Linked DNA regions of Macaca mulatta. Each later gene encodes a partner of the first gene's protein in a complex. Links are inferred from orthologs where the notes say so. Each region holds a gene or a part of one and is shown in the gene's direction. Other genes may lie near its edges.

Region 1 (5,166 bases):
CTCCTTGATACCACCCCAGAGGATGCCATTCTACCGAGGCAGGCGTGGCTCATGGGAAAGAGGGAGATGAAGGGAACTAGACTTTTTTTTTTTTTTTTTTTTTATATGGAGTCTCGCTTTGTTGCCCAGGCTGGAGTGCAGTGGCACAATCTTAGCTCACTGCATCCTCCGCCTCCTGGGTTCAAGCGATTCTTCCGCCTCAGCCTCCTGATTAGCTGGGATTACAGGCACGTGCAAGTACGCCTGCCTAATTTTTTTGTTATTTTTAGTAGAGATGGGGTTTCACCATGTTGGTCAGGCTGCTCTCGAAATCCTGACCTCGTGATCCACCCACCTCGGCCTCCCAAAGTGTTAGAATTACAGGCGTGAGCCACCGCGCCCAGCCTGGAACTAGATATTTTTAAATTGATTTTTTTTGAGACAGGTTTTACTCTGTTGCACTGGCTGGAGAGCATTGGCTAATTTTTTTGATTGATTGATTGAGGCAGAGGTTTGCTCTGTCACCCAGGCTGGAGTACAGTGGCACAGTCACGGCTCATTGCATGCAGTCTCAACCTCCCAGGCCCAAGCAATCCTCCCATCTCAGCTTCCAAAGTAGCTGGTACTACATGTGCCACCATGCCTGGCTAATCTTCTTGAAAAATTTTTGTAGAGACAGTGTCTTGCTATGCTGCCCAGGCTGGTTGAACTTCTGGGCTCAAATGATCCTCCCATGTCAGCCTCCCAAAGTGCTGGGATTATAGGTATGAGCCACTATTCCTGTTCTTTCTTTTTTTCTATTTTTTGAGACTGAGTCTTGCTTTGTTGCCCAGGCTGGAGTGCAATGGCGCGATCTTGGCTTACTGCAACCTCTGCCTCCCGGATCTAAGCAATTCTCTGCCTCAGTCTCCTGAGGAGCTGGGATTACAGGCTCCCACCACCACTCCTGGCTAATTTTTGTATTTTTAGTAGAGATGGGGTTTCACCACGTTGGCCTGACTGGTCTTGAACTCCTGACCTTGTGATCCACCCACCTTGGCCTCCCAAAGTTCTGGGATTGCAAGCGCAAGCCGCTGTGCCCAGCCTTTTTTTTTTTTTTTTTTTTAATTTATAGAGACAGGGTCTTCCTATGATTCCCAGGCTGGTCTTGAACTACAGGGCTCAAGCTATCTTCTCACCTTGGCCTCCCAAAGTTCTGGGATTATAGTCATGAGCCATGGCTGGCACTTCACCTTGAAATTAATTTTAATTAACTCAGTGTGGTGGTAGGGTGCCTGTAGATGGAAGGCGAGTTGGGAGGATCATTTGAGCCCAGGAATTCAAGGCCGCAGTGAGCTATGATCACACTACTGCATTCTAGCTTGGGTGACACAGTGAGACCCTGCCTCAAAAAAAAAAAAAAAAATAAAGCCTGGGTGTGGTGGCTCACGCCTGCAATCCCAGCATTTTGGGAGGCTGGGGTGGGTGGATCACCTGACATCAGGAGTTCGAGGCAGCCTGACCAACATGGCGAAACTGTGTCTCTACTAAAAATGCAAAAATGAGCCTGGTATGGTAACGCATGTCTGTAATCCCAGCTGCTTGGGAGGCTGAGGCAGGAGAATCACCCGAACTGGGGAGGCGGAGGTTGCAGTGAGCCGAGATTGCGCCATTGTACTCCAGCCTTGGCTGTAAGAGTGAAACTCTGTCTTGAAAAAGAAAAAGAATGAAATTTATTTATTTATTTATTTATTTTTGAGGTTGAGTTTCGCTCTTGTTGCCTAGGCTGGAGTGCAATGGCATGATCTCAGCTCACTGCAACCTCTGCCTCCCAGGTACAAGCGATTCTCCTGCCTCAGCCTCCTAAGCAGATGAGATTACAGGTGCACGCCACCATGTCTGGGTGATTTTTGCGTTTTTAGTAGAGAGGGGGTTTTGCCATGTTGGTCAGGCTGTTGTCGAACTCCTGACCTCAGGTGATCCACCCGCCTCGACCTCCCAAAGTGCTAGGATTACAGGCATGAGCCACTGGGCCCGGCCTGAGACCTTGTCTCTTAAGAATAAAATAAAATTTAGTTTGAAAATACTTTTTTGCCTGAGTGTGGTAACTCACACCTGTAATCTCAGCACTTTGGGAGGCTGAGGTGGGTGGATAACTTGAGGTCAGGAGTCTGAGAACAGCCTGGCCAATATGATGAAACCCCATCTACCAAAAAATACAAAAATTAGCAAGGTGTGGTGGTGTACCTGAATCCCAGCTACTTGGGAGGCTGAGGCTGGAGAATCGCTTGAACCTGGGATGCAGAGGTTGCAGTGAGCTGAGATCGCCCCCCTGCACACCAGTGAGACCCTGTCTCTAAAAAAGTAAAAACATAAAATTGGGCTGGGCGCGGTGGCTCATGCCTATAATCCCAGCACGTTGGGAGGCCGAGTCAGGCGGATCACCTCAGGTCGGGAGTTCAAGACCAGCCTGACCGACATGGAGAGACCCCGTCTCTACTAAAAGTACAAAATTAGCCGGGTGTGGTGGCGCATGCCTGTAATCCCAGCTACTTGGAAGGCTGAGGCAGGAGAATCGCTTGAACCTGGGAGGCGGAGGTTGTGGTGAGCCAAGATTGTGCCATTGCATTCCAGCCTGGGCAACAAGAGCAAAACTTCATCTCAAAAAATGAAAATAAAGTAAAAACATAAAATCTTTAAAAAAAACAAAAACAAAAAACAAAGTGATATGTGGTTGCTATAAAAATTTAAACCATACAGAAATGAAGTCAAATATTTATTCACCAAAATCTTTGCCAAAAGAAGCATCCACTCTTCCCAGTTTCTTGTGGCCTGTGTGCACACGAGAATGTGTGTGTCTGTTGTATAGGCAGGGCGTGGCCTGGCTCTTGTGGCTGAGTATGTTGTGGTTTGTGTCCTGAGCTAGGAAGCCTGACTGAGGGCAGGTGGGGACTCAGGTCCAGCTAGGTCAGCCCGCCATGCCTGCTACCATGGCTCAGCCTGTGCCCTCCCAATTTCCACAGAAGTGCTGGGAGGTCTTGTGGCAGCCTGGGGCATGGCCGGGGTGGGAAAGTCTATTTCCCACCTTTAGTTTGGACCCTTGTGGTTGTTCCTCCTCATCCCTCTGCTCTTTTATACTTAGCTTATTGGGTTGAGCCCTGAAGAGGGAAGCAGGACTCTGGTGCCTTTGTTTACCCCGGCTTGATCTCTGCTCTAGAAAGAGTCGCTGGCATTCTTGACCTAGATTTATTCCAGGCAGTAAATGAGAGGGGTGTGGTCAGATCCTCAGGTAGGACTTATGGGCTACACAGAGTCATACTGCGTGGCATCCCCTGCCACCCGCTCCGTGTTGCCTGAGGGGATGTGGTAGGTGGCACCTCCCAGGGCCGTGGCAAGGCTCAGGTGGATGTGAAGGGCGAGGGAGGGGCTGGTGCAACTGGCTACCCAGAGGCTTTTCTCCAAGGTCATCGAGCTGGTTAAGAAGTACGGCACAAAGCAGTGGACACTGATTGCCAAGCACCTGAAGGGCCGGCTGGGGAAGCAGTGCCGTGAACGCTGGCACAACCACCTCAACCCTGAGGTGAAGAAGTCTTGCTGGACCGAGGAGGAGGACCGCATTATCTGCGAGGCCCACAAGGTGCTGGGCAACCGCTGGGCCGAGATTGCCAAGATGTTGCCAGGGAGGTAAGCTGTCTTCTTGGGGGTTGGGGCAGGTTCTCAGGAGGCCAGGCCCATGTTTCTGATGGAGGAGGGTTCCTTGGTGGGTACTGTGGTCCTATGCTCTTGTTCTCTAACACCCAGCCTCGGCTTCAGGACTCCCAGAGGCATGCATAGTCGGGAGGAAGGGTGGTTCCCCAGGAAGGCCCTGTCTTCTGTCAGCTTAAAAGAACAGATGGTGATAAGGGAGGCCTCAGCAAGAAAGTGAGAACCCTGGAGTCTAGTTCTCATCCAGTTCCCAGCTCACTGTGTCTTCTTGGTTAGCCTCTTCTCTTCGACTTCAGTTTCTTCTAACACAGAATAGACTTGAGATGTGGAGTAGATGGGCTTTCTTTAAGAAGAAAATGTATAATCCCAGTACTTTGGGAGGCCGAGACGGGCGGATCATGAGGTCAGGAGATCGAGACCATCCTGGCTAACACGATGAAACCCCGTCTCTACTAAAAATACAAAAAACTAGCCGGGCGAGGTGGCCGGCGCCTATAGTCCCAGCTACTCGGGAGGCTGAGGCAGGAGAATGGTGTAAACCCGGGAGGCGGAGCTTGCAGTGAGCTGAGATCCGGCCACTGCACTCCAGCCTGGGCTACAGAGCGAGACTCCATCTCAAAAAAAAAAAAAAAGAAGAAGAAAATGGTCAGGCTGGGCGCAGTGGCTCACGCCTGTAATCCCAGCACTTTGGGGAGGCTGAGGCAGGTGGATCATGAGGTCAGGAGATCGAGACCATCCTGGCTAACACGGTGAAACCCCGTCTCTACTAAAAAACACAAAAAATTAGCCGGGCGAGGTGGCGGGCGCCTGTAGTCCCAGCTACTCGGGAGGCTGAGGCAGGAGAATGGTGTGAACCCGGGAGGTGGAGCTTGCAGTGAGCTGAGATCGCGCCACTGTACTGCAGCCTGGGCGACAGAGCGAGACTCTGTCTCAAAAAAAAAAAAAAAAAAAAAGAAAATAGTCAAAAATCAGATAGTACTATAATCTGCTAAAAGGTTTTTTTTTTTTCTTAAAAGGTTTGTAATGAAAAACATCAGTCTTTGTCACCACTCTGTTAACTCACTCTACTAAAACAGACTCATCTTTTTGAGTTCTTTATCACTATCTCTGTAAATGATGTGCCAGTTTACATATTGATCCTCTGCTATGGGAGATTAGCTTTCTTAGGCTTTCCCATTCCCCATATGTCCCTATTGCTCCAATAATGTATTATAGTTATTAAAATAATAATGTTTATGGTCGGGCATGGTGGCTTATTCCTGTAATCCCAGCACTTTGGGTGGCTGAGGCGGGTGGATCACTTGAGGTCAGGAGTTCGAGACCAGCCTGGCCAACATGGTGAAGCCTCATCTCTACTAAAAATACAAAAAATTAGCTGGGTGTGGTGGTGGGCCTGTAATCCCAGCTACTTGGGAGGCTGAGGCAGGAGAATTGCTTGAACCTGGGAGGCGGAGGTTGCAGTGAGCCGAGATCACATCACTGCATTCCAGCCTGGGCGACAGA
Region 2 (5,799 bases), on another chromosome or scaffold:
TCTGAAATAAAGTACAAGGAAAGAGAGATTCTTCTCCTTGATGGAAAAGAACAAAATACTTTCTTAAGGTTCTCAATGACTCGTTGTGATGGGAGGGGAAGAGGAGGCAAAGGAAAAAAACCAATTTCAGTAAAAGATTTCAAGAAGTTGGTAAGAAAAATATAGGGTGGAAACTTTGTTTTCCTGCTACTAAAAAAAGATACTAGAACAGAACAAGGATCACAGCAAGAAATATGAGGCCAGACCATCTGACAAACCCTTCAAACTCATCCTTTCTACCGTCCCCATTAAATAGCATATTTAAACGTGAATCTTTGCTGACTCTGCCAAGAATCTTGAAAATGCCCAAGTTTCTGTACTAGAACTCACGGAAACCTGGTGAATACTAATATTACCTAAAAGCGCAGCAATACAGAGGAAATTCTCAGACTGGATGTAATGAATAAGAAGGGCACTGTTGTTTCTTGCTGATTGTTTCTTGCCTGCAGTAAATCTTGCCTCATACTCTAAATCCTTGGTAGGCCATGAACAGGGGAAAGACTATAGAGTTGGAGATTACAGGCCTCAGGCATGCAACTCCTGTAGCTTTACCATTTCTCCTTAGGTTGGCTTCAGAAAGGACTCAATCCCCCAAGTGCAGAGATGAGGGTGTGTGGCACTAGAAGAGCTGATTTGGGGTGGGAACTTAGACTTCTTGTCTTACCTGGCTCCCACTTTCTATCACCTGTTTTGAAAATGTTTAGTACCTTGAACGTACATGGAACATACTGGTAGCGTTAACTGTGTGCCCTTATCTACCCTATGTACATGTGCCCTATCTATGTAAACTGTTTAACTTGGCTGAGAGAAAGTTTCACTGAAAGTTTTGGCAAGAAAGGGGACAGCCAGTCTATGGAAAATACAAAGAGCCACACTTAGGGAAAATAATTCGGTAAATGGCTGCCTTTGGTGAAAATCTAGAGTCCACTTCTAGAAGAAAATTCAAAGTTCATACACTGACCCTCGCCCCTCACGTTCCCCCTCCCTCTTACCTCGGATCACCACGGACAGTGAAGTAGGGTGGGGGAAGGGAGCAATGGCAACGTGGACGCTCAAGGCAGGGGACAGAATAACCAAAAAGAGTAGTTTCTGGGGGATAGAGAGAACGCTGGTGCAGAGGTGAAAGGGAAAGACGGTGGGCGGATGGAGAGATGAGGGCAAGAGACTGACAGCAGGGAGCGGGCAGAGCTGGAGAAGGAGAGTGGGCGAGAGCCAGAAAAGAGGAGGCTTAGGAGTAAAAGGGTAGAGGGCCAAGGGTAACAGCCCAGGGTTGGATCCGGGACGAGGGAGGGTATGAAGTGAGGGCTGGGCATGGGACAGGGCCCACAGGTTAGGTAGGAGGTCCGGCCAAAAAGGGGTTGGGCCAAGAAGGTGGTCCCAGCCCGAGGACGGCTCAGGGAGCGGACGGAAAGGATCCAATTCCTAGCTTCATGGTGCCTTGGCGCCACCCTCACTCGCCTGCAGGATCCTGGCTCGCACTGCCGCCGCCGCCGCCGCCACTACCGCCGCCATGGCTCTCGGCCGCCCTAGCTCCGCAACCCGCTCCTCTACAGCTCAGACGCACTACAGCTGCCAGGCCTAGCCCTCCATCCTGCCGGGCTTCCTCATTGGTGGGGAGGACTATTTTCTTCAGCCAATCACTCGTCCTAACACCTGATTCCTCCTCTCACACCCCAGTCCTGGGGATAAGTGATTGGTCAGGAGCGAAAATGCTCGCACCCTCTCCTACCTCAGCCAATGCCGTTGGCGGAGGTAGAGAAGACGCCCCCGACTTGGACACTCCATACTGAGCACACGGAGGAGACGCCCCCTAACCTGGAACTCCGATTGGCCAAGGACGCAACCGAGGCCCCACCCCTTCACTGAGCAAAGTAAATAAGACCCTCCAAGAATTTTGCTGTCGCTCCACCTCAACAACTGCATAAGGGGCGTGGCTATGATGAGGGGAGGGGCTGGGCGAAGATTGCCCTATGAGGCGAGGGAATGAGACGTGGCTGCGAGTTGGGGATAGGGTTTCTCTTTGGGGGCGTGGCTTATGGATCCTCGTTTTCCCGCCGACGGTTGGCCACGTCACGTGACATGGGTTGGAAGATGGCGTCTCCCACAGACGGTAAGAGCCGGCTTAGGGATGTTTGCCTGCAGCCTCCTTCTTTGCTGTATGGGGAACATCCACTCTGTCTCTGCCCCTCGAACATACATTTCTTTCTTGGGCTCTTCTCCTTTCCCTTTTGTTTTTTTTCTTGCGATCCATCGCCGTCTTCAGCTCACCGGTTCTTCGCAGCAGCTTCAGAGGTGCCCAGTTTCCCTGCTCTGTACCAGGCGTGTGGAGGAGGGCACTAGGGAGGGACTCATTCTGGGTAAAAGGACAGGGGTCGCCCTGGCCCTTCCTTATCTCTATTTGGGCGAGGCTGAGGGTAGAGGAGGAGATGTTACTGGAGGACGTGCCTTACTGTAGTTTTCTCCTTGGGGTATCCCATTGAAAGGATCAGTTCTCTTCTGATTGAGCGCACAGATGGAACGATTCTCAAACCCTCGCAGGGGCTGCTGGCTGACCCCATCTCGATAGTGAACCGCAAGAGAAACATGATCTCTCTCCTGTCTCCTCAGTTTGGGACCATTGCCGTGGCAGCAAGAGAAGCGGGGGACGTTCTCGGCCCCTCGCCGAGAGAGTCGCGAGGAGAATGAGTATTGAGCTTTTAAGTGTTGTCTTGCACAGGTCGCAACCGCTCTTTCATCTGCTTTACGTGTTGTTTCTTAAGGCTGAGTGAATGAACGATTTCTGTTTATATGTTGTGTAAAATGCAAGTCATCTCAAGTAACAAGTTGTTTTGGTATACTCCCATGCTTTTGCTTTTGGTTCTGCTTTAGAGAGGGTCTTGCAGTCATTTTTAAACTCATTTTTAGTTCTACCATCCGCATCCCAACTATATATCGATTTTATTGATATATAGGTTTCCCTCCCTTAGACAAACAGATTTTGTATTTGGAAGGAATCTTGGAAGTTCATTGCAGGAATGAAGAAATTGAAGCCAAGGTGAGCTGTATTGAGTACCTACTACATGAAAGGCATAATGCTAGGTGCTTTGGGAGACCAAAAGATGACTCAAACATACACACTTTTTTTTTTTTTTTTTCCAGTTTCAGTTCTCTTTTTAGATGTCACCTCCCAAAGAGTCTTTCTTAGAACACAGTATCTGGAGTTGCCCTTCCCCACCATTATTCATTGCCTCAGTATCTTCCTTGTCAGCATAGTTACTATGTTAACTTTGCCCCTTGTACGCTAGATTATAAATTACAAGTTTGTCTTGTTCATAGCTGGATTCCAGGTTTAGCACAGTGCCTGACGAACAGTAGGTCTTTAATTAACATGTATTGAAAGATTGATTAGATATGTGCAGAAATAATATATTACTTGATCTTAAGTTTTACGTTTAACCGAGTCTTAAATTTTGTGAGCACAGGTACATACTGTGTTAGAAATTATGGCCGGGCGTGGTGGTTCACACTTCTAATCCCAGCACTTTGGGAGGCTGAGGCAGGCAGATTGCCTGAGCTCAGGAGTTGAAGACGAGCCTAGACAACATGGTGAAACCCCATCTCTACAAAAAAATACAAAAATTATCTGGGTGTGGTGCCGTGCACCTGTAGTCCCAGCTACTTGGGGGGCTAAGGCAAGAGAATCACTTGAGCCTGGGGGTGGAGGCTGCAGTGAACCATGTTCATGTCACTGCACTCCAGTCTGGGTGACAAAGCGAGACCCCGTCTCAAAAAAAAAAGAAGGAAAAACAAGAAATTTGGATGTTTGGAGTCAAAAGAGATTCTCCTTCCTGGGTGCTCTCTTGCAAAAATGTCCTTCTCTCGCCAGAAAGAAAGGCATTTAAAAAGGGAATAGGGAGTTATTGTTAATGGGTACCAAATTTCAGTTTGGGAAGGTGAAAGTGTTCTGGAAATGAATGTGATGATTGCACAATTAATGTACTTAATACCACTGAACTCTATACTTAAAAGTTATTAAAATGGTAAAATTTATGTATATTTCACCACAATTTTTTTAAAAAGCCAAGTGATAGAAATAGAGGTAATTGTTATTAAATTTTTTAGTTTATTTTAAAATTGTTTTTACAAATTTTGGGGATTTTAGAGATGTGTTCCTTGAGTTTGGTTTTTTTTTTTCCTTGTCTTCTCTCAATTTAGTTTCCTTTCTTTGGCCAGGAAGAGTATTAAAAATGTTAAATTTTTTTCCTTTGGTCTTCTAGCCATCCCTATGGTCACTTTATTTGCACTCTTGATTTTTAAAAGTCTTCATTCTCATCTCTTACAAAGTTTTACTCCTCTCCACCTAATGTTTTCTTTTAATCTGAAAAAATCAAGTCAAGCACTTTGAACTTAAATTCAACGTCTCAGTAAGTATCTCATTCCAAAATATTCCATGGCCTAGCTCTCTCACTTCTATTTTTAGTGTTCCACCTGTCACTGTCTTTAAAATTTAATTCAGATAACATTGACTTGAAAATGTTTGTCATTTACTCTTTTGTCTTTTTCGTGATAAATTTGCTGGAGCTTCTTTGAAAAGGAGAAAACTGAAATTCAAATACAGCCATCTAATTACTTAATTTATGAGAGTAAGACTCACAGCAGAGTCTGAGTTCTATCCCAGACTGTGGGATAAGGTCACCCATGTAGGTTATTAGATTGTACCCCCAATAATTTTTTTTAAAATTTTCTTTTAGAGACAGGGTCTCTCTCACTCTATTGCCCATGCTGAAATGCAGTGGTATGATTATAGCTCACTGCACCCTCAAAGGCTCAAGCTATCCTCCCGTCTCAACCTCCCAAGTAGCTGGTACTATAGGCTCACACCACCATGCCCAGCTAATTTATTGTTATTATTATTTATTTTGTTTTGAGACGGAGTCTCACTCTGTCACCCAGGCTGGAGTGCCATGGCACGATCTCGGGTCACTGCAATCCCTGCCTCCTGGGTTCAAGTAATTCTCATGCCTCAGCCTCTCCAGTAGCTGGGATAACAGGCACACACCACCACACCTGGCTAATTTTTGTATTTTTAGTAGAGACAGGGTTTCACCATATTGCCCAGGCTGGTCTCAAACTCTTGACCTCAGGTGATCCACTCACCTCAGCCTCCCAAAGTGCTAAGATTACAGACGTGAGCCACCGTGCCCTGCCTTATTATTTTTTGTAGAGATAAAGTCTCACTATGTTGCCCAGGCTGGTCTCAAACTCCTGGGCTCAGACAGTCTTCCTGCCTCAGCTTCCCAAAGCACTGGGATTCCAGACACGAGCCACCGCACCTGGCCCAATAACTTTATTTTTGTTATGGTTGAACATTCCTCAGAAATTGGTAACAAAGAGAAGCTAATTTTTAATGCTTTAGTTAAGGCAGTGTATTGGTTGAGTTCTTTACAATTAAAATGCCATTGGAAATTCCTTTGGGATATTTGGCAAAACAAATTCAGTTTAGAGAAAAGTACATGTTGAAAAATTTTGTACATATGTGTATTTTCTGGGGAGTGAGTTCATTTTTTTTCCCAGATTTCCAAAGATGTGGCTTACCCAGAAAATGTTAAGAACCGCTGTTTATAGCATTAAATGAACTAGTTATGCAACTGGTTAGCATACTGAGCATACAATAAAAACTCAACGAATGTTAATATTGAGTACTACTCTGTGCAAGGGAAGAGTGGAAGAGAAATGATGTCAAAGAATTAGGCAGAGGCTGAGTAAGATTTTATAGAGTAT
Region 3 (5,166 bases), on another chromosome or scaffold:
ATTTATACATTTCATTTGACTGGATTAGGTACTGAATGTATAAATCATCTGAATACAGATTGAGGTATTTTCATTTGAATGTCTTGAACCTACAAATATTCCCTCATAAAGTGGATAGACTGTAGCCACCTTAGATATAAGTTCTCTGGTAGATGGGGTAAGTGGTTTTGAAAGGTAACTATCCTGATTAAAGATTGCTCAAATTAGGAATCAAATGGAATTCTTTAAGCTCTTTTATGAGAAAAACTTGGGAGAGCTAAGTATTCTTAAGTGTTTTAAATACTATTTTCTGTAAATAACTTGTTCACCCTTTTTTTGTTTTTTAAAAAGCAAAGCCAGTGGTTGTTAATACAACCCCAGTGCGGATGTCAGTTCCAATTGTCTCAGCTCAGGCTGTCAAACAAGTGAGTATCACATAACTTCTTTCTGAGTCTTTCCCAAATAGATGAGTTACTTTTTAAATAGAACGTTAAGATTTAGGTGCAAGAGATTTATACTGAATTGAACAGCTGTAAAATTTATTTTGTGGTCATTGATGTATGTCCCTTCTTTTTAGGTTGTTCCAAAACCAATCAATCCAACTTCACAAATAGTAACTACTAGCCAGCCACAGCAACGGCTTATCATGCCTGCCACACCACTGCCACAGATCCAGCCCAACCTCACTAACCTGCCACCAGGCACTGTCCTGGCACCGGCTCCGGGAACAGGGAATGTGGGTTATGCAGTGCTTCCAGCTCAGTATGTTACTCAGGTATGTGGAAAAAATGAAGTCATTGTATTGCAAAAGTGATAACGGGGTCCAAGATGTCTAGTGCTATCACAGAAACTACTCAAACACATCTAACTCAGTATTGAAGTGGCACTTTCCAAAATCTTAAAATGTTAACCCAAACCTTTAAGTTTATTTCTGTGTACCTTTAGCATTTAGAAATATATAACAGAGGTCAGATATACAAGTCAGACAATTTGGAGCTGAGAGCAGCTTGGCAAGAGCCCAAGGCTGTGGCGGTATGATAGAAAATAGACTGAAGTTAAAATCGGCAGAGTCCAAATGAATTTAGAAAAGACCGTGGCTGTTACAAAGCTCTTCCTCACACATCAGTTTGATGCCACTGACTTGGAAAATAAGTCCAAGTTTATTTATTGGAAAATAAACTGTGAGATGCATTTCCAGGTGACATATCTTTAGCGATCTGTCTACTCTTACTGGTCATCTTTAGAATGAAAGACAGGGAAACAAACCCACACGTGTACTTTTTAATGAAATATACTTTGGAATATGTTTTGTGGCTATTGATAAAAAGAATAACGTTCAGTATTTTTGTCATAAGCATTTCTAATGTTTAGAAGTTGGTGTAAAATAGAAACTCAACTATTGTGCATGTAACTTATTCTCTGTAATTTGTAGTGTGATAAATGATCAATATAGTACCTGTTTTATTTGTAAGTAGGCACATTACATTTTTCTAGCCAAAACAAGTTATTACAGTACTTCGAGAGCATTCATCTAGAATTTCCTATCATTCTGACATACTTAACTCTTCTGTGAAATACTTTCTTTATATTTGTACTATGTAGTACTATAAAATGTTCACATTATTTTCACCTATAGTATTGGTTTGAGTCTTTAAAAGAGCTCTGTGGAGTATGTGTTTGTATGAAATTCTCCATTGTGTTTTTCTTATTTTAATAGATGAATTTGTATTGCTTACTGATCATCATACCTGAGAATATTGTCCGTTTTTGGAAATATGATCTAAAATTAATTTTCTTTACATGTAGCTACAGCAGTCTTCATATGTATCAATAGCAAGCAACTCTACCTTTACTGGAACATCTGGTATCCAGACCCAGGCACGGCTTCCATTCAATGGGTGAGTATTTTGAAAATAGGTACATAAGTTGTTAGATCAGCTTAAATGCAACAATAAATACATATATTCCAAACTACATCCTCTTTGACTTTTTTCCCCTCAAAGCTATGTGAGCATGCCTCTAAAATACTTGTTGAAATATTTCAAACAGAAAAATTACAGAAATAGTCAATTCCCAAATACTCTATTCAGGTTCACCAATTTTGCTACATTGGTTTTATTATTCTCTTTCTGAGTATGTTTCCAAAATGATGATGCTAACTATTTTTTATCTTTATTTTTCGAGACAAGGTCTTGCTCTGTTGCCCGGGCTGGAGTGCAGTGCTGTGATCTCAGTTCACTGCAACCTCCACCTCCCAGGCTCAAGCAATCCTCCTGCTTCAGCCTCCTGAGTAGCTGGAACTGTATGCGCAGGCCACCACGCTCTCCTAATTTTTAAATTTTTTGGTAGTGATGCAGTCTCACTATATTGCCCAGGCTAATCTCCAAGTCGGGCTCAAGTGATCCTCCTGGCTCAGTCTCCCAAAGTGCTGGGATTCCAGGCTTGAGCCACTGCACCTGCCCAACTATTTTAAAAATTATGTTAGGTCCTTGTTTTTTGTTGATGTTTATTTATCTGTTAATTACTGCCTTTGCAATATCAGCTTAGAAGCAGTGCTTAATTACCCGGAATCAGTCCACATCCCACTTCCATTTCCTCCTCCACACACTCCTTTTCCTCACTGCCTTTTTATACTTGAATCCCAAGAGTTTTGAGGCAATCTCAACTTTGTTTTCTTAGAAGGGACAGTGTTTGTGGAGTGTTCTTTAGCAGCTATTGATAACTTCTTTTTAAAAAATTATTCCATATCTTGTCTTTACCTCTTTTCATGTTACAACTTGCCTTTGGACCTAATGTAAACAGAACAACATAGCAAACTTTTTATTTTAGATGGACACATTTAACATTGGTTAAAACTTTATTTCTGGAACAATTTATAGATTGGAGACTTTTCTAATCTTAAATTAGTTTTAGGTCTAATTTTTAAAATTTTAAATTAATTGTAGCAACTAAATTAATTTTAGTTACTATTAATTGATTAAATGTATATATTTTTTCTATCCGTACAGCATAATCCCATCAGAGTCTGCCAGTCGGCCCCGAAAGCCCTGTAACTGTACAAAATCACTGTGTTTGAAATTGTAAGTGTTTTTGCTACTCTTTGCTCATTTAATATAATTAGAAATGCTCTTAAAAGTAAATGGAGTTAACTAAAAATTTTTAACAGACCAAAGCTTGTAAGTCTAAGTAATTTAAATAAACATATAAGTCAATGTTTGCACATATATGGCAGTATAAAAATATTTCATTCATTTTAGAAAGAAATATTAGAGTCCTTACTATACATGAATCACTGGAGTAGGGGTCAGGGACATAGCAGCATGAGACAGACATAGCTTCTGCCCTTAATAATGTTTGATCTTATTCATGACTTTTGTATTTGGTCTACTATGTGAAGAGATGATACTCTAGGTAGTTTTAAAAATCATTGAATGGTTAATTTGCTTATTAGCATTATAAAGATTTGACATGAACTAGTTAAATGAAAAGCATTAGTCTTATTGGGGCATAGAATCCAAAGAAGTACTACTATAACTCAAATGAGCCAGCTCAACTATTAGAATATAGCCAGTGTTCTTCCTTTTTCAGAATTGTGAAATGCCTGACTTTGGGGGCACATAAAATTATATAGCTCTTGTGCGATAGCTGTTACTGGTTGGACTAAGTTTTTTAGGTCAAAATTCTAGGACTTGGTGATTTAAACTTTGAGCCTTAGTATGCGGTTGACAATATATGTTGTTAACTCTTCAACTGGGTAGCTGAGTAGATTTCTGAAATGATTTACCACATATGTAGTACATGTACAATATATATATAATGTATGCATATATAATCAGGTAATTAGTAGTTTTCCTTAATAATGACTTTTTACCTATACTGACTTTTACCTTTCAGATATTGTGATTGCTTTGCAAATGGTGAATTTTGCAACAACTGCAATTGTACTAATTGTTATAACAATTTGGAACATGAAAATGAAAGGCAAAAAGCAATAAAGGTGATTATTTTTTATTTCATTTAACTGACAGAAATATCCAGTTTCACCAATTTTTTAAATAACTCAGTTGTCTTGCAAAGAAACATTTCAATTCCTTTTGCAGTGTTTAAATTTCATCTACTGTGATTTAACTCTGATATTTGATCTGTTTTGCTAGGCATGCCTTGACAGAAATCCAGAAGCCTTTAAGCCTAAGATTGGGAAAGGAAAGGAGGGAGAATCTGATCGACGTCATAGCAAAGGATGTAATTGCAAACGATCAGGATGTCTTAAAAACTACTGTGAATGCTATGAGGTGAGATGCTGGGTGGTGAAAATAATATCTTTTAAGATATTTTAGAAAAGACATACTACAAAAATTTACTTGAAAATTGGGAAATCACCTTGCTATTGCAGTTTGAAAATATGCGCAGTTGGCACAGAGGCCCTTGTTTGAGGAAATATGAGGCAGGCTTTCGAGCCTCCTTAGCAGGGCTTCGGAGGAATACCTTGGGTTTACTATTACAGCCTGGAGTCTTATTGGGTGATTTACCATAACTTCTTGGCCATTATGCCCAGAAATATGCATGCAGATCAGAACACCAATATACTGATTTTCAATAAAAATAATAGTATCAAAGTGGATTGGAAACTCTCCAGCAGTGATTCTCACCTGAGGTGCAGTTCTTATTGTTCTTCACAGGCTTCTTAGAAATATATGGCCGGGCACGGTGGCTCACACCTGTAATCCCAGCACTTTGGGAGGCAGAGGCGGGCAGATCACTTGAGGTCAGGAGTTCGAGACCAGCCTGGCCAACATGGTGAAACCCCGTCTGTACTAAAATACAAAAATTAGCTGGGCATGGTGGCGGGCGCCTGTAATCCCAGCTACTCAGGAGGCTGAGGCACGAGAATCGCTTGAACCCGGGAGGTGGAGGCTGCAGTGAGCCGAGATCATGTCACTGCACTCTAACATGGGCAACAGAGCAAGACTCTGTCTTAGACAGACAGACAGACAGACAGACAGACAGACAGACAGACAGATAGATAGATAGATAGATAGATAGATAGATAGATAGATAGAAAGAAAGAAACAAACAAACAAAATAGCCTGCATCCCACGGTACAGTCTGGAAATTAAAGGATTATCTTGACCAAAATGCTGGTTATGCCCACTCGAAAAGCACACTGCTCTGTGGAAAACCAAAGTA
Region 4 (5,166 bases), on another chromosome or scaffold:
ATTGTATATTTTAAGTAACTAGAGGAAAGGAATTGGAATGTTCCTAATACAAAGAAACAAAAAAGGCTTGAGATGATGGATACCCCGATTACCCTGATTAATCATTACACATTGTACAGCTGTACAAAAATATTTTCTTTATATCCTTAATTTTCTTTTTTTTTTAACTTTTGAAACTTTTTTGTTGAACACTGAGATGTGGCTGGGCAGGGTGGCTCACACTTATAACCCAACACTTTGGGAGGCTGAGATGGGAGGGATCACTTGAGGTCAGGAGTTCAAGAGCAGCCTGGGCAACATAACGAGACCCTGTCTCTACAAAAAAGAAAAGAAATTAGCCAGGCATGGTGACATGCACCTGTAATTCTAACTACTTGGAAGGTTGAGGTGGAAGGATCACTTGAGCACAGGAGGTTTAGGCTGCAGTGAGCCATGATGGCACCACTGCACTCTAGCCCAGGCAACAGAGTGAGACCCTGAATCCAAAGAAACCCCCCAAAACAGAAAACTGAGACAGGGGCCAGGCGCAGTGGCTCACGCCTGTAATCCCAGCACTTTGGGGGGCCAAGGCGGGTGGATCACCTGAGGTCAGGAGTTCTAGAACAGCTTGGCCAACATGATGAAACCCTGTCTCTACTAAAAATACAAAAATGAGCCAGGTGTGGTGGCGCACACCTGTAATCCCAGCTACTGGGGAGGCTGAGGCAGGAGAATCGCTTGAACCTGGGATGCAGAGGTTGCAGTGAGTAGAGATCATGCCACTGTACTCCAGCCTAGGGGATAGGGTGAGACTCTCTCTCCAAAAAAGAAAAGAAAACTGAGACACACTATCCTAGGCCTACAGGGAGGTCAAGATCATCAATATCACTGTCCCCTACCTCCACATCTTGTCCCACTGGAAGGTCTTTAGGGGCAGTAACACACATGGAGCTGTCATCTCCTGTGATAACAATGCATTCTTCTGGATACCTCCTGAAGGATTGCCCGAGGCTTTTTACAGTTAACTTTTAATTTATAATTTGAAGAAGTACGCTCTAAAATGATGAAAAGTATAGTTTAGTAAATACAGAAACCAGTAACATAGTCATTTATTATCATTATCAAGTATTATGTACTGTCCATAATTGCATTTGCTAGACTTTTATAGGACTGGCAGAGCAGTAGGTTTGTTTGCCAGCATCACCACAAACATGTGAGTATTGCATCATGCTATGGCATTATGATAGTTACTACCTCACTAGGCAATGAGAATTTTTCAATTCCATTGTAATCTTATTGGACTACTGTTGTATATGCGGCCCGTCATTGACTGAAATGTCCTTCTGTGGCAAATGACTGTAGTTTTAATTTCAGTAAAAAACCTATAATCTACATAGAATACGAAAAGATAAGTATGTTAGCTATACAAGGGCAAAGTTTTTGTGTTTTTTCACTGACTTATTCTCAGTGTCAATAACAGTATCTGGCATAGAATAGTAACTGGTCAATAAATATTTGTTGAATAAATAAATAAATGATGTGCATAGAAAAACACTCTAACTTCATACTTTATTAGGCCTTTAAGGCAAAAAGTAAGTTTAAGTAAACATTTTCTCATCTCTATTCAATTTAAATTTTTGACACCCGAAGTAAAAGTTAAATTACTGTCTTCTTGAATTATCTTACAGAGATTTGTAAAGGAAGTCTCTAATATGTATAATGGAGTAAAAAAACTTTTTTCCCTTCTAGTAAACGAAGCAAAAAAGGAGATAAAAATGGGAAAGGCTTGAGACACTTTTCAATGAAGGTGTGTGAGAAAGTTCAACGAAAAGGTACAACATCATACAATGAAGTCGCTGATGAGCTGGTGTCAGAGTTCACCAATTCAAATAACCATTTGGCTGCTGATTCGGTAGGTAGATCATGAACCTGACATTGATTTTGATGGATGATGGTATCTCTTTGTGTTATCTTTGTTATAGATTTGAGGAATCAGGTAAGCTAGATGAACAATTATACTTGAGGGTTTCATCCTTTATTTTGGGGGATTTTTTGTTGTTGTTGAGTTTTATTTTGGAGGGAATTCTTTTTTTTTTAGATGGATCCTCGCTCTGTCGCCCACGCTGGAGTTCAGTGGTGCGATCTTGGCTCACTGCAACCTCTGCCTCCCAGGTTCAAGCTCTTCTTGTGCCTCAGCCTCCCGCGTAGCTGGGATTACAGGCGCACACCACCATTCGCAGCTAATTTTTGTACTTTTAGTAGAGACAGGGTTTCACCATGTTGGCTAGGCTGGTCTCAAACTCCTGACCTCAGGTGATCCACCTGCCTCGGCCTTCCAAAGTGCCGGGATTACAGGCGTGAGCCACTGCACCTGGCCTTAGTTGCATTTTTTTGTTTTAACATTTAAAAAATATTTGGCATGGTGGCTCACGCCTGTAATCCCAGCACTTTGGGAGACCGAGGTGGGCGGATCACGAGGTCAGGAGATCGACACCATCCTGGCTAACACTGTGAAACCCTGTTTCTACTAAAAATACAAAAAAATAGCCAGGCATGGTGGCACGTTCCTGTAATCCCAGCTACTCAGGAGGCTGAGGCAGGAGAATTGCTTGAACCTGGGAGGCAAACGTTGCAGTGAGCCAAGATCTCACCACTGCACTACAGCCTGGGCAACAGAGCAAGACTCTGTCTCGGGAAAATAATAATAATAACATTATTATTATTACAGTTATTTTTATTACTTTAAATAAATATTGTGCTGAACCCTTTATTATTATTTAATCTGCTTTGAATAACATCCATATCCCTTCCAATATCAAAAAGAGGAAATTGGCATACCTACCACATTGCCTCCTCCCAGGACTTGTTGTTACAGGATCATTGTTTCTGCAGGGTCAACATTTCTTTTTTTTTTTTTTGAGACAGAGTCTAGCTTTGTCACCCAGACTGGAGTGCAGTGGCACAATCTTGACTCACTGCAACCTCCGTCTCCTGGATTCAAGAGATTTTCCTGCCTCAGCCTCCCAGGTAGCTGGGATTACAGGCATGTGCCACCACGCCCAGCTTAGTTTTGTATTTTTTAGTAGAGATGGGGTTTTGCCATGTTGGCCAGACTGGTCTTGAACTCCTGACCTCAGGTGATCCGCCCGCCTCAGCCTCTCAAAGTGGTGGGATTACAAGCATTGTCAAGATTTCTAATCATTGTCAAGATTTCTAATCATTGTCAAGATTTCTAATATCTATTGATGTTATTGTCAAGATTTCTTGCCTATTGTCAAGATTTCTAATATTTACATTCAGTTCTATAACTTAAATCCCCCACTTACTTAGATCTAGTTTTATATTTAGGTGGATTCAGTGTTCTCCACCATCCTTTATTATCATTGCATTTCCTGAGGACCTTGTTCCACGTTGTAAACCAACATGGTTTCCTTCATTGAGTAAGTCTTTCTATCAAAAAAAATAGAAGAAAAAGGCCAGGTGGGTGACTCACGCCTGTAATCCCAGCACTTTGGGAGGTCAAGGCGGGCAGATCACGAGGTCAGGAATTTGAGATCAGCCTGGCCAATATGGTGAAACCCCGTCTCTACTAAAAATACAAAAATTAGCTGGGTGCAGTGGCACGCGCCTGTAGTCTCAGCTACTCAGGAGGCTGAGACAGAAGAGTCACTTGAACCTGGTAAGTGGAGGTTGCAGTGAGCTGAGATCGCGCCACTGTACTCCAGCCCGGGCAACAGACCGAGACGCTGTCTCAAAAAAAAAAGAAGAAAAATGGTCAACTGAACTGAATGAACAGTGTCCATTGTCATATAGAGGATTATATTTTGGTGCAAGTTCCTAATCTCATTGTAGATTGGAGACAATTTGCAGATCAACAGTGGTCAAGGAACACATTTTGAGAAGCACAGTTTTACCCAGAACTTGAATAAATGTCCTTGATTTTTTTAAGTCTAAAATCCTCCCAGATAATGCAAGGGCTTAGAACACTTTACCTCCAATATGTTTTTCTGTTAATATATACTATTTATTGTCATGTATATTAATTAAGTTCTGTATTTATTCTAGCCTCCATAAGACATTATTATTGTTTTATACAGTGAAAATTGAGATTTACCCACATATTTACCTTTTGGATTGGTCTTCATTCTATCCTACATCTCTAAGCTCCCATCTTAGATGATATTTCTTCTACCTGAAGAAATCCCTTTAGTATATTTCAGTGTAGATCTGCAGGTAACATGATCTTTATTTTTAAGATTATTTTGTTTTATATTGTTTGAAAGTATTTTTATTTCATCTTTAATTTTGAAGGATATTTTCACGGAATATAGAATTCTTTTGGATGTCTTTGTCAGTTTGCTAAATAAAAAAATAGAATCCTTCCAGCACTTTGAAGACATAATATTAATTTGACATATTAATATCATGTGACTGTATCTTAACCCTTAATTATCACTCAATGAAAATGTTTTTTAGCAGGCTTACGATCAGAAAAACATTAGGCGAAGAGTTTATGATGCTTTAAATGTGCTAATGGCAATGAACATAATTTCAAAGGAAAAAAAAGAAATCAAGTGGATTGGCCTGCCTACCAATTCTGCTCAGGAATGTCAGAATCTGGAGGTAAGTGAGAAAATCTGTTTATGAATAGCTTTTTGTATTATTTTACATCAGAGGCATTTTAATTTAAAAATGTAATTGTAATATAAAATATTTCCAATTTTTCATGTATACTATGTCATTTTTTAACAGACTGTAGAATTTTAGAATTGGAAGGTGCCTTATAGGTATAGTCTACAGTTTAATTTGTAAATGATGAAACTGAGGGATATAAAAGTTAAATAACAGTTTGATTTTACTGTTTCTTAGAGAAGATTTTTATTTCATTCTAAGTTAATTCTGAGCACTCTACTAATAAACTTTTGGTGAAATGGTATCTTATTTGATAAGATGCTTGCTGTATGTATCCAAAAAAAAAAAAAAAGGATCAAGCTGGCTGTTGATTTCCTTTATTGGTTACACAATATTCTGAATATAGCTGTGAAAGTCAGACTTTTGCATTTGACTTTAGAAATAATAGCAACAGAATGAATAGTGTTTCGTTTGTGTCTTTACCAGAATGAATAGAATTTTGGAATTATGTATGCAGAAGCATTTTAAGTTCTGTTAACTTTAAGCATTATAGAA

Evidence for each region.
Region 2: the proteins of MYBL2 (region 1) and LIN52 are in contact, whole or in part, in a crystal structure (PDB 6C48), measured with the Homo sapiens proteins. The link is inferred for Macaca mulatta from reciprocal best matches to the Homo sapiens genes MYBL2 and LIN52. Residues at the interface, in NP_002457.1 of Homo sapiens: Trp663, Val666, Ala667, Gly669, Thr671, Asp673, Gln674, Phe676, Lys680, Ala681, Gln683, Leu684; in NP_001019845.2 of Homo sapiens: Gln84, Ala87, Tyr88, Gly91, Leu92, Glu94, Ser95, Met98, Thr99, Lys102, Phe103, Leu107, Glu108, Lys109.
Region 3: MYBL2 (region 1) and LIN54 share a complex: the UniProt entries of both Homo sapiens proteins name them as parts of the DREAM complex. The link is inferred for Macaca mulatta from reciprocal best matches to the Homo sapiens genes MYBL2 and LIN54.
Region 4: MYBL2 (region 1) and TFDP2 share a complex: the UniProt entries of both Homo sapiens proteins name them as parts of the DREAM complex. The link is inferred for Macaca mulatta from reciprocal best matches to the Homo sapiens genes MYBL2 and TFDP2.

The regions. Positions count from the first base shown.
Region 1 is NC_133415.1:96,520,953-96,526,118, forward strand, and holds part of MYBL2 (myb-related protein B), read left to right. Parts: intron 1-3,421; coding exon 3,422-3,642; intron 3,643-5,166. UniProt on the Homo sapiens protein: Transcription factor involved in the regulation of cell survival, proliferation, and differentiation. Transactivates the expression of the CLU gene.
Region 2 is NC_133412.1:147,265,680-147,271,478, forward strand, and holds the start of LIN52 (protein lin-52 homolog), read left to right. Parts: upstream 1-2,111; 5' UTR 2,112-2,118; coding exon 2,119-2,149; intron 2,150-5,799. Other genes in the region: ALDH6A1 (methylmalonate-semialdehyde/malonate-semialdehyde dehydrogenase [acylating], mitochondrial), read right to left, coding at 1,498-1,551.
Region 3 is NC_133410.1:50,833,539-50,838,704, forward strand, and holds part of LIN54 (protein lin-54 homolog), read left to right. Parts: intron 1-330; coding exon 331-404; intron 405-556; coding exon 557-754; intron 755-1,785; coding exon 1,786-1,877; intron 1,878-2,987; coding exon 2,988-3,059; intron 3,060-3,873; coding exon 3,874-3,976; intron 3,977-4,133; coding exon 4,134-4,271; intron 4,272-5,166. UniProt on the Homo sapiens protein: Component of the DREAM complex, a multiprotein complex that can both act as a transcription activator or repressor depending on the context. In G0 phase, the complex binds to more than 800 promoters and is required for repression of E2F target genes.
Region 4 is NC_133407.1:44,951,966-44,957,131, reverse strand, and holds part of TFDP2 (transcription factor Dp-2), read left to right. Parts: intron 1-1,728; coding exon 1,729-1,891; intron 1,892-4,455; coding exon of another isoform or gene 4,456-4,458; coding exon 4,459-4,602; intron 4,603-5,166. UniProt on the Homo sapiens protein: Can stimulate E2F-dependent transcription.